Mus musculus: one gene and its partner. The protein of the gene in region 2 purifies or fractionates together with the protein of the main gene of each other region. This does not show direct contact. Links are inferred from orthologs where the notes say so. Each region holds a gene or a part of one and is shown on either strand. Other genes may lie near its edges.

Region 1 (6,213 bases), on a different chromosome or scaffold from region 2:
ATTTCATAATTTTATTATATATTTATTTGGAATATTTATTAAATTTCTTTTTCTGACTTAATAGAACTAAATTCTCCCTTTGTTTTTTTTAAAAATTTTTTTGTGTGTAGGTACTCTACCATATATGCAAACATATTTTACACTTGGAGTATATGCAATTTTTTTTTTTTAAGTTTGTAAAGAGGAAGGCAAAAAAGTGAACAAAAGATTCTATATATCCCTCCTATTTTTATTCTGGATGGCCACTTAACCACCAGAAAACTTCCTCAGGTACTTAAAATACCTTTGTAGTTTTCTTCAGGTTAGAGTTAGTATTAGAAGTTAGATGTCAGAATTATTTTGTTTTTAGGTGATTGAGACAAGGTATTTATTATAGCTTTGGTGTAAACCAGGCTGGCCTTGAACTCACAGAAATCCACCTGCCTCTGCCTCTAGAGTGCTGGGATTAAAGGCGTGTGCCATCGCGCCCGGCTATTGTTTTTGAGAGTCCCGAGGTGGAGCTTGTGTTGGTCTTTAAGTCAGGGTCCTCCTGGCTCTGATCTTCGAGTGTTGGGGTTTTATTGTGTGGTAAGATGCCCAGAAATAAAGTGTCCTTTGGATGACTTAGATGTGTAGATCAACATGAGGTTTTGTTTTTTTTTTTTTGAGATAGGGTTTCTCTGTGTAGCCCAGGAACTCACTCTGTAGACCAGGCTGGCCTCGAACTCAGAAATCCGCCTGCCTCTGCCTCCCAAGTGCTGGGATTAAAGGTGTGTGCCACGACTGCCCGGCAACATGAGGCAACTTTTCTGCTCTGATGTCTCAAGAATTGTAGCCAGCAAAGTAGACTGGACCTGAGAGAGCGAGAGGCTAGAAAAGGCCAGGCCAGGCATCGATGGGTTTGTCCACAATAAACACATTGGAGCACCAAGCTCTGAACAAGCAAGTTTCTTTCCTGTTGATTCCTTTCCACCACACCCCCTATCCCCACCTTGGAAACAAACAGATTTCTGGCAGCATTCAGTTATGGCCAGATTCAGTCGTGTATGTGAGGGATATGGTAGGTAGGAAAATGACTGCCTCAAAGGTATTTCCATCCTAACTCCTGAAACTTGTGAATGCCATTCAGCATGGCCAAGATTGCTGACCAGATAACTTTAAAGTAGGGAGTTAGTCTAGATCAGTCATTCTCAACTTGTAGGCCATGACCCCTTTAGGGGTCAAATAACCCATTCACAGGGTCCACCTAAGACCAGCAGAAAAGACACATTTACATCATGATTCATAAGAGTAGCAAAATTACAGTTGTGAAATAGTAAAAATGATGTTCTGGATGGGGGTCACTTCAACGTGAGGAACTGTATTAAAGGGTAGCAGCATTGGGAAGGTTGAGAAGCACTGATCTAGATCATCAGTTTGAGCTCACTGCAGTCACAGGTGCCAGAGTCCAGCGTTTTGCAGTTAGGCTTCTAGCCCCACCTTAAGTCTCCCCCTTTTCCTCTCCTTTGCTGCTGATTGAGACTCTAAGGCATCATGCACGCTAGGGAAGTGCTCTACATTGATCCTGTTGCCCACTTAATGACCCCTTTTATTGGTCTTTTCCTTCAGCTCAGCCCCTCCTGTTATCAGGAGGGCTTTCCCTTTCTTAATAGGTGGTCACTATAAGACCCTGTTGGTAAATGTTTTTAGTCCCCACCAATCTCTTTTCTGTTATTGCCCTAACAATAGTTACAGCGCCCAGAAGAAATGGGCCTAAGGTCAACTGACACTTTTTTGGCTTTAGGTGTTTTAAGAGGTCCCAAGGAAGGGTGGTAGTGCATGCCTTTAATTCCAGCACTAGGGAGGCTGAGTCAAACCAGTCTGGTCTACCTACCAAGTTCCAGGCCAGCCACTACATAATGAGGCCATGTCTCAAAAAAACCAATCAATCAATCTTCCCCAGGCAGTGATGGCACATGCCTTTAATCTCAGCATTTGGGAGGCAGAGGCAGGCGGATTTCTGAGTTTGAAGCCAGCCTGGTCTACAGAGTGAGTTCCAGGACAGCCAGGGCCACACAGAGAAACCCTGTCTTGAAAAAAACAAACAAACAAACAAAAAAAAAAAAACAAAAAAAAAACAAAAACAGAAGAAAAAGTCCTAAGGACATTCCCTGGTAAGGAATTCTCAAAGAATGGGCCTTATTAACATGTGTAACAAAGTCTGATTTTCGTTTTCTGGGAAAGATGGTCCCAGGAAGGGTTCGAGTCAACTTGGCTCTTCTTCTAAGAGCTGTTAAGGATTGCACCGCGTGTTGGCAGTATTTGTGAAAATCTTCATAGTAGCTGAAGGCCTGATTTAACATTTATCTTAGGTTAGCAACTTGTGCCGCGATTTCTGCCCAGTGAGATTTGCCTCTGGTTACCCACAGAACCCTAATTCCTTTGCGCATGTGCCTAAGTGGCGGCTGCCTCCCTTTAGCCAAAACGCGGTCGATCCCAACCATAACCTAGCAAAGCCCTGCCCACGTCACTCTGTGGGTCAGGGAAGGCTGAGGCGCCAGAGAAGAGGCATCCACAATTCGGAGGGCGTTCAAGGGACAGCATTGCGGAACGCTCCTGCGCAGAGCCAGCACAAATTGGTAGCAACGTCGGACACCCAGGAGAAAGTACTTCCAGGAAGTGACGTACCTTCCAGAGCTGATTAGTTGTTGGTTTGTCCCGCCCTACGCGTGCGCACTGACAGCGTGGAGTCACGCCATGGAGGACCAAGAAGCGCTGGGTTTTGAACACATGGGCCTGGATCCCCGGCTCCTGCAGGTATGGGGTAGGCTGTGGAGCTGCTACCCGGTGTGCCGCTGTACTCCACGCCGCTTGAGCTGCGTCCTCTTCCTTCTTAGGCTGTCACCGATTTGGGCTGGTCGCGACCTACGTTGATCCAGGAAAAGGCCATTCCTCTGGCGCTGGAGGGGAAGGACCTCCTGGCCCGCGCCCGCACAGGCTCCGGGAAGACCGCAGCTTATGCTATTCCGATGCTTCAGTCGCTTCTCCACAAGAAGGCGGTGGGTAGCGAGAGGAGCAGTGAGTATGAGGCAGGACGCTCCAAAAGAATAGGGAATGAAGTGCCCGACTGTGCCAAGGTTCCTCCTATAGGTCCTGTGTCAGTGTTAGGCGGCCCATAGAGAACTTGGTCAATTTGCAGCTTAATCTCTGAGCTGGAGTTCAGGTTACTTGGCTCTCAACCCGGGCCTTGGTGCCACGACCGCCATCCTGTTGTAATTTTGAGTAACCTTTTATCTAGAGGGGGACTCATCAGCTCCGTAGTACGTTAAGTGATTTCAGCAAGTTCTAAATTTGAGTGCCTGGGAAAGCTCTGCCCCCTGTGCTGTGAGGTGGGCAGAATTAAGAGTTTATCAGGACACAGCTAGGTGGTTGTGTTGCAGTACATGGTTCTGACTGTTTGGGCGGACCCAGTACTTTGAACGGTCTTGAATTGGTGTTCTTACAGACAGGTCCTGTAATGGAGCAGGCTGTGAGAGGCCTTGTTCTTGTTCCTACCAAGGAGCTGGCACGGCAGGCCCAGGCCATGATCCAGCAACTGGCTGCCTACTGTGCTCGGGATGTGCGAGTGGCTAACGTCTCAGCTGCAGAAGACTCAGCTTCTCAGAGGTGGGTGAAACCTGCAGGCCTCCAAAGGGAGAACGCTTTGCAAGTGTGTGCCCTTGGTGGTGTGAGTGGCTAGCCTGGGCAGGTCTGCCAGGGCGAGGGTCTGGCTGCTAAATCCTTGCCACCTGCAGAGCTGTGTTGATGGAGAAGCCAGATGTGGTGGTGGGAACCCCATCCCGAGTGTTAAGCCACTTGCAGCAGAACACCTTGAAACTCCGGGACTCCCTAGAGCTGCTGGTGGTAGATGAAGCTGACCTTCTTTTTTCCTTTGGCTTTGAGGATGAACTCAAGAGTCTTCTCTGGTAAGGAAGAAACAGAAGTGGCTCCTAGACCTGCAAGGGTCTGGACTTGGGACTGGAGTGGAATGGGTGGGCTGGAGCCTGATCAAGCCCTGTTCTTTCTTTCAGTCACTTGCCTCGGATTTACCAGGCTTTTCTCATGTCGGCCACTTTCAATGAGGATGTACAAACTCTGAAGGAGCTGGTACTGCATAACCCGGTAAGTGGAGCATCTGGGACTGAGACCCAAGTCTCTGAACTTGTTGATCCTTCTCAGGAAACTTCTGGCGCTTGCGGGGGGACTATTTTTGTTAGGTATGTCTTTCCTAATTCTTAATCACTGAAAGGAAGTCACTTGAAGTCATTATATATTTATAGCTTTCCCTAGTCCAAACTGTGCTTTGCTTGGAAGTCACTTGGGGTCACGTTTCCAAAGGGAGCCAAATTCTAAGACCAGAGTTCCCCTTGTGTACATTTCAGTCTTCTACTTCCAGCCATTGTGCAGGCTTCTATTCTGTATCCTGTCTACTCCCAATGTTTGTCTTTGTGCTGTACACTGATGCTGTATGTATAGTTTGTTTCTAATACCACAATAGTTAGGGTACTTTTGAGTTCTTAGGTTACAGCCCTGAGGTGGGGTGGGGGATGGGGCAGTGGCTCACACACCAAAAACCCTTAAAGACATGTTCTATCCTGCACTAATGTAGTTGCTTTGGTTAGTGAGGCAGTGTCCACAGAACCACTTCTCTTTCCTGATCACAGGTCTGTCCTCTTCCTAGGTTACCCTCAAGTTACAGGAGTCCCAGCTGCCGGGGCCAGACCAGCTCCAGCAATTTCAGGTGGTCTGTGAGACAGAAGAGGACAAGTTCTTGCTGCTGTATGCCCTGCTCAAGCTGTCACTGATTCGGGGCAAAGCCTTGCTCTTTGTCAACACTCTAGAGAGGGGTTACCGGCTCCGTCTTTTCCTGGAACAGTTCAGCATTCCTTCCTGCGTGCTCAACGGAGAACTCCCACTGCGCTCCAGGTCCGCTGTGTCTGTCTTGATAAAGATAAGCTGAGAAGAAACATGGAAGGAGAACCCAGTTGGTTCTTTCCCCTTTTACGAGATGGGTTATGCTGTATTTGTAGTCCAAGTTAGCCTTGAATTTAGAGCAGTCCTCAGATTTCTAAGTGCTGAGATTAAATTTGTGGGCTGCCTCACACAGCTGGTCTTATTTCTTCTCCTCCCGCCTCTTTGCAGTGTGAGGGATTGAGCCCAGAGCCTTGTTCTTGCTAAGTAAGCACTCAACCACTCAGTTATACACCTAGATCCCTTTTCTGTTCTGTAACCACTTGCTAGGAGCTAGCCTCTCAGTATGATGACAACTCTGAAATAATTAGCTGCTGCTCCATTAAGGAAGAAAGGAAGGAAGGAAGGAAGGAAAATTACGAGTGTAGGTGTTTTATTGCCTGTGTGGTTTATGTGTCCTACGTGCGTAGCTGATGCATAGGGAGGCCATAAAGGGTGTTGGATCCCCTGACATTGGATTTACGGAGTATTAGTTGCCATGTGGGTGCTGGGACTAGGACCTGGGTCCTCTGGAGAGCAGCCGAGCGTTTAGTCCTTGAGCCATCTCTCCAGGTCAGTGCTGTAGTTTTCAGCTGAGGAGGCTGAGGTGCGGATCTGAGGATAATAAAGGAGGTAAAGAGAGAGGGAAGGAGGATGGTTAGGGTCAGGCTGGTCATCCCCTTGGATTGCAGGTGCCACATCATCTCACAGTTCAACCAAGGCTTGTATGATTGCGTCATAGCGACAGATGCTGAAATCTTGGGACCCCAAGTCAAAGGCAAACGTCGAGGCCGCGGGTCCAAAGGAAACAAGTGAGTCCACGGTTCTCTTTTTTCATCATTCCTCCGAGAGGACTGTTTTCAGCCTCTGTAAGACTGAGCCAAAGTGCATAGAGTGAGTGAGTTGTCAGACATTCTCGGTGGTTATACCTGGCAGTCCCACGGGCCCTTGCTTAGCTTCCTGGGCAGACATAGAGTAGAGGGTGATGCCCACATGTGCAGCACAGAGTGTCAGGGTCCCAGAGGCGGTTTATGGGTCAGTATGTTCTGCTATTGCCCAGGGCTAAGGTCAGGGCACAGGTTTGCCTGCATGTCAGAACTCCGGTCCACCCTCCAACACCCCAGCTCCTGGAGTGATTCTAATGTTTGGAGGTCTTTCAGCTTTGCTTAGAGGAGAGATGGCTTAGAGATATATGTGAGAACACATTCCCAGAGGGTGAGTATCTGTCTGATACCAGGTTATTTTCTCAGGGCCTCTGATCCAGAG
Region 2 (6,081 bases):
CATTACTGATGAGGTTGAAAGGGCTTTTCTCTTCTTATTAGACTTTATTTTATATTTACATGTGGGTACACTGTAGCTGGCTTCAGACACACCAGAAGGCGGCACTGGATTCCATTACAGATGGTTGTGAGCCACATTGTGGTTGCTGGGAACTGAACTCAGGACCTCTGGAAGAGCAGTCAGTGCTCTTAACTGAGCCAATCTCTCCAGCCCGGGGTTTCAGGTTTTTGCAAGGCTTCAGAATGGGTAGAACTAAGATGAGATGACACATGTATTCTGAATGGGAAGAAGCACTAACGCAGGAGGGAGGGAAGAGTCTTCCCGAGGCAGCGGGACTGCCATGTTGGGACAACACTTGCAGTCATGACCTGTGCCTAGCATCAGGGAGAGCTGGGGCTGGTCGTGTGCCTACCCAATGTTTCTTTTGGTGTAGCCCTGACTGTCCTGGAACTCACCTTTTAGACCAGGATGGCCTCGAACTCAGATCTGTCTTTGCCTCCCTGAGGGCTGGGCTTAGTCTCACACCAGGTATCTTCACAAACTCCCCAAAACAAAACTTAATTATGCACGTGGGTGAAGGGGAGCTGTATATGAATTCTGGCGCCTGCAGAGGCATCTGATATCCTGGAGCAAGAGTTACAGATGTGGGCCTAATACAGGTGCTAGGGACAAAACCAGGTTAAGAGAAGGAACTTTTCATGGATTCTTCAAGGTTCCAAAGCAGCAGCCACTGGTTCTACTCTGCACAGGGAAGCAATGCAGTCTGAGGGGTCACCCATTCCTTTGATGTGGGACCAATGGACTTAATGGGAAAAAGAATCATCTATAGACCAGATGCCCTCTTATGGCTTTCACATGTTATCTTCTAAGTGCCATTCACACATTGCTATCCCTGAAAGTACTCTGGGCCATGTGTAGACATGGAAATGTCTACAAGGGGCCAGAGGCAAGTCCCTCAGAGGTAGCAATTGTAGGCAACTGCAGTAGGTTCCTCCCTGTGACAGAACAGTCCCAGGAAGCTTCAGGCCTGTGCCCTTTCAAGATTGGGCACCATGATGATGCCGTGCTGGCTGCACCCAACAAAAGGAACCCCCATGTTTCCTCCATCATTCACCAAAGCGTAACCCTGTCCCCATCTAAAGCTTGCAAGCTCACTGTGGGGCTTGGCTGGCCTCATTTCCACCTAGCTGAAGCTTAGAGCCAGCAGGATAAAAAGCTCAACCAGGTCCCCAGGCTTGGATTATAGTCATGTCTGGAATTCTTAGGCCTGAGACAGCAGCACCCTGGAGTCCAGAAACAGACTGCTACCCCTCAGTGTCACAGGCAGGGCTCAGGCTATGTCCTAGACAAATCGTAGTGGGGCTGAAGCTAATCTAAGGGGATACACACCTATGGAAAGATGCCACTGAGCAAGGCTGACAGGCAGGTGAGCAGGGCTAGCATGTTGTTAGGGACGGGACCAACTGGGACCTCTCCAGGGACATAGAAGCAAACAAGCAAGGACAGTCTCAAGTTTTTATTCAGTGGGTCTCTGTGTCTAGAAGAAGGTGTTGGGCCTCTTGGTGGTGAAGCGTGGCTTGTGCTGGCGCCGCAACACACGGTGGGGCAGTGGGAATTTGATCTTGGAGTCCTGTGGGGAGGGAAGCAATCAGTGTCCAGAGACTGTCCGTGTGCAACCACCCCCTGCAGCCCTGCGTCAGCCCCACACTCGGGGTCACTCACGTGGAACTGCTTGACAGCTGGCCGGCGGCACTTGCCAGCTGCAATCTCTTCCACCTTCATGATCTGGATGGAGTGGGCACGGGCACGGTGTCGGGCACCCATGTCTCGGTCTGTGGAAAGAAAAGAAAATCAGCCCCAGCCACCCAGAATGCCCCCACATTCTGTAGAGCCTACTGATTCACTCTGGGGGGCACTGCACAGCCCCCCAAAGGCGACGAAGCCCCTTTGCTGTGTGCACCACTATTTAAACAGCCGCTACAGGCAGCGACAGTTCTTGGGTTGGGTGCCAGAAATTGGCAGAGGGTTGGAGACTCACAGCACTGTGTGACTGCACCAGCAGTGGTCAGGTCCCTGTACTCCCGATACATGTTGTGTGTGCCACTGCGGGAGTCATAGCGCAGCCAGATGCCAAAGTTCTTCACACGCAGGGGTGACTTCTCAAACACCTGTGGGGAGTAGGGAGGACATGAGGAGTGCTGCCCTGGCTCTGATGGTACCCAGCGACCGGCATCCTGTGGGGCCCCAGACCTCACCTGTCCGCAGTACACAATTTCCCCGGATGACTTCTTCATCTTCTTCAGCTGTGACACAAAGTACCAGAAGCGGGACTTGGCCACCACATGGTTGGGTGCAAAGATTCGCATACGGTACAGTGGTGGTGTGTGGCATTTTGGGGTTGGCAAGCAGCGCCCCACCACCTTGTACTCCCGAAGCTGAAAGACATGTCAGGAGAGAAAGTTGTCTATGTGGGGGAGGGGTGTGGAGGCAGAGCCGGCCTGAGATTCAGTCCTCCCACAGGCAGGGGTGTCCAAAGTGGGCTCATACACTCGAGCCCAGTGTGAGGCAAGTCAGAAGGCTTGTGCTCCGCTACGAAGCTGCCTCAGGGTCTACATGTGGCAGGCTGCTCTGCTCTCCCTGAAACTCCAGGCCAAGATGGCAAAGGTGGCTCACGTCTTTAATCCCAGAGCAGGAAAAAGGCCATTTGTTCTACAGAGAAACTGTCTCTGGATTGGGACTAATTGACGATTCCAGACTAGCTTTTCACCAAGAGTCCGAAGGATTGTGTCCAACACACCGGGGCCAGTATGAGATCCGGCACCCTAGGCTACCGTCAGCCAGCCTTTAGAACTAGCTAAGGATGATTCTAGCGACGCTCTGCTTCGATTTCAAGTGCCGAGATAAGTGGCAGCAGGCTCGGTGTAGCCAGCGCTGGGGACAGGCCGCAAGCTTACCAAATGCTCTCTAAACCTAAGGCGGGCCGCGTGTCCACTCCAGTCTAAATAGACCAGGTTAGCTTTAAACCTCATAAGAGACTAAAACAAGCCAGCCGGGCGTGGTGTCACACGCCTTTAATCCCAGCACTCAGGAGGCAGAGGCAGGCGGATTTCTGAGTTCGAGGCCAGCTTGGTCTACAGAGTGAGTTCCAGGACAGCCAGGGCTACAGAGAAAACCCTGTCTCGAAGGAAAAAAAGACTAAAAGAACCACGGGGCTAGATTTGGCAACGAAAAGGAGTGTAACGCTGATATACACGAAAAGGCGGAGGGCCTTCCGGTGCACCCCGATCTAACCCGCTCCGTCCTCGGCCGCCCAGCACGCGGCGGCCGCCATGTTGGCCGCAAGGAGGCTGTGGGCGAGGAGAGCTGCCCGTAACCGCTGAGGGACCCTCGCGACGAACGCACCACCACCCCGGAGGACACAGCCAACCCGAGCGGCCCTGCCGCCAACGCCGCACCTTTTGCCCCGCCGCGGCCTCCTTACCGTGCCCGAGGCCTTCATGGCACTGCGCACTCGTTCACCGCCAGTCACAAAAGGAAGTGTTGTCTTTCGCGCAGGCTCTCACCATGGTCTCTGACGGAAGTCCCGCCCTCCTGATGCGGTGCTTCCATTGGGTACAGCTAGTAGCGGTCTAAGTTCTTGGCTTTTTTATTGGGTACCGATCAGCTACGTATAAGTCCCGCCTCTCTTCACGGAGACTACAGTTCCCAGAGAGCAGCGCGACGGGCCTTTGCAAGTTTCTCCCGGGACGCCCCATCGTCGTGCGCGAGGGATCCTGGGAGTCTACGCGTAATCGTGGTTCCTAGTTAGATTCCGGATTTTTAGTTCTCTCTGTCTCTCTCTTTTTTCATCTTTTTCTTCCCACTTTCTACATCATCCTTCTGTGTATCTACCCATCTATGACCCATCATCCATCTTTTTTATTTGCTTGCACCACCTTCGTGTCTGGTGCCTCGGAGGCCCGCAGAGGGCGTCAGTTCCTCAGTGCTGGAGTTAAAAGTTGTGAGGTGAATGCTGGGAATCGATCCCTGTATGTGCTCTTAGCTACTGCTGTTCTCTCTCCAGCCCCATCTATCTTTTTCTCTGTCATTAGTTTGGTTTGTTTGTTTGTTTTTTACTGTTTATTGAGATAATGTAGCCCAAACTAGCCTGTAACTCACTGTAATTCTCCTGCCTCTTCCTAGTTCTTGGGATGCTGGAGTGTGCCACCTGCCAGCCCACGTAACTATTTTCTTTATAGAATTGTATCAGAGCTGTGTCACTCTGTCTTAACTTTGTCATTTTCCTGGCCAGGTCCTGTACCTGAAGGCGACAATATCCGCCGTGTGTTTCCGCTAATGGCCACTAGGTGGCGAGCGCGTTTTTTGGCTCAGCCGCAACGCAATGCAATGCTGGGATGTGTGCTTCTAGGTCCCCCATTTCCATTGTGCTCAGGCGCATTCAAGTGTGATCCCTCAGTTTCCCCAGCCGCATTAACACTCCCCGTCCCATAAGATAGTTGTAAGATTTAGAAATTGGGCGTGGTGTTGCATGCCTGAGGTCTTACAAATGGGAGAGTGAGCCAGGAGGCTCAGGAAAGATGGCCTTGGCTACACAGAAAGATCTCATCTTACAGCCTTCCCACCCCAAAATAAACAGCTTAATAACATGTCGGTGTGCAATGGGCAGGCTAGGACACAGTCCACCTCTGCTGGAACACATTGCTCCAACCTGTGTTCTGGAGGCTGCTGAAGTGGGGTAGATACATTCTGTAAGATGCAGGACAGATGCTGGGGTGCAAGCTGTGCCCTGAGAGGGCACAGGGAAAGGAATGGAGAAACAGCTGTGTGAGGAAAAAGTTGGTATCCACAGGCCCAGCCTTAACCTTGGTCTGGGCTTTGATGTAAATTCAGAGTTTACAAGACCCTCAGCTGGGTGAACAGGACAGGTGCTGGCGGTTCAGTTTCACTTCCTGCTTTGCAGATGCCCCCCTTGGCCTCTCCTGAGTGGCGACAGGCTCTAGCCTTAACAGACCTCCTCTCCAAATGGCTCCTCTCCTAGGGGCTATGAAGAATCCCAGCAGGGCCACCTGTTGGTAAGACCTCAGGTTTCTGTCACAACAGCCCTGTCACCACAGGCTAGTGAGTATTCTGGACTTTGAGGTCCACTGACTGGCTTGTCCCCTGTGCCTTTGTTCTTCTGCAGTACACCTGTTAATCTGGGATCTCAGGCCACCTGCTTTTATCCCTCAGTCCCTAGGCAGAGATGTCCCTGCCTTAGTAACTTCAGTCCTGTGCCTTGCAGAACTAGGCAGGATATTGTAACCAGTCCTCAGACCCTAAAATGCCTTCAGACCCTAAACTACCTAGTACCCTGGGTTTCCCTTGTCTGCAACAGGCCTTACACTCTGAGGAGGAACAGACCCAGACATCTGATCCTCAGTACAAAGGACATTTATTTATCCCCCCAGGGACAAGCAGGGGTGGGGGGAGCTGCCTCTGGATTGGGCATAGCAGGTGCTTCTGCAGGAGTGGGTTTTAAGGAGAAAAAGGGAAGTCTGTGCTAGGGTGACTAGGTAAGTCCTGATTAGACAGATCAGCTAGTGTAGACAAATAATGACTTTTGATAGCTGGACCTTGGTGTTTTATTCAGGCATAAGGAAGTAGCCCTTGGTGGCTAGCTTGGGGAATGTAATCTAATGGCTCAGCAAGGGAGAGGGCAAGACCTGCTGGTACCACGTTTACCATGCTTGGGTCCTTCTCTGCGCCAGGACACCTGCCTTTCCCACTCTGCCAAGTCCACAGGGTCTACCCTCAGAGGGCCTCACCCCTCTTTTTGCTTTTTGAGACTAGGCCTCCCTATGTAGCCCAGGTTGGTCAAAGCTTGCTTTTGTTTATTTACTTATTATATGTAAGTACACTGTAGCTGTCTTCAGACACTCCAGAAGAGGGAGTCAGATCTCATTACAGATGGTTGTGAGCCACCATGTGGTTGCTGGAATTTGAACTCAGAACCTTAGGAAGAGCAGTCGGCGCTCTTAACCACTGAGCCATCTCACCAGCCCAAAGCTTTTGTTTTAAAAGTAAAGTTTTATCTTTTTTTTA

The links. Proteins that work in one complex are often made in the same cells at the same time.
Region 1: the proteins of Rpl18a (region 2) and Ddx56 purify together in Homo sapiens (affinity purification with mass spectrometry; 3 studies listed by BioGRID and IntAct, counting the BioPlex papers as one, with this or other methods). This does not show direct contact. The link is inferred for Mus musculus from reciprocal best matches to the Homo sapiens genes RPL18A and DDX56.

Annotation. Positions count from the first base shown.
Region 1 is NC_000077.6:6,264,222-6,270,434, reverse strand, and holds the start of Ddx56 (probable ATP-dependent RNA helicase DDX56), read left to right. Parts: upstream 1-2,705; 5' UTR 2,706-2,715; coding exon 2,716-2,775; intron 2,776-2,855; coding exon 2,856-3,017; intron 3,018-3,463; coding exon 3,464-3,624; intron 3,625-3,752; coding exon 3,753-3,923; intron 3,924-4,028; coding exon 4,029-4,119; intron 4,120-4,678; coding exon 4,679-4,923; intron 4,924-5,639; coding exon 5,640-5,759; intron 5,760-6,197; coding exon 6,198-6,213. UniProt on the Homo sapiens protein: Nucleolar RNA helicase that plays a role in various biological processes including innate immunity, ribosome biogenesis or nucleolus organization. Plays an essential role in maintaining nucleolar integrity in planarian stem cells.
Region 2 is NC_000074.6:70,893,878-70,899,958, forward strand, and holds Rpl18a (60S ribosomal protein L18a), read right to left. Parts: upstream 3,567-6,081; 5' UTR 3,500-3,566; coding exon 3,482-3,499; intron 2,436-3,481; coding exon 2,256-2,435; intron 2,169-2,255; coding exon 2,039-2,168; intron 1,980-2,038; exon of another isoform or gene 1,882-1,979; intron 1,833-1,881; coding exon 1,723-1,832; intron 1,694-1,722; exon of another isoform or gene 1,631-1,693; coding exon 1,538-1,630; 3' UTR 845-1,537; downstream 1-844.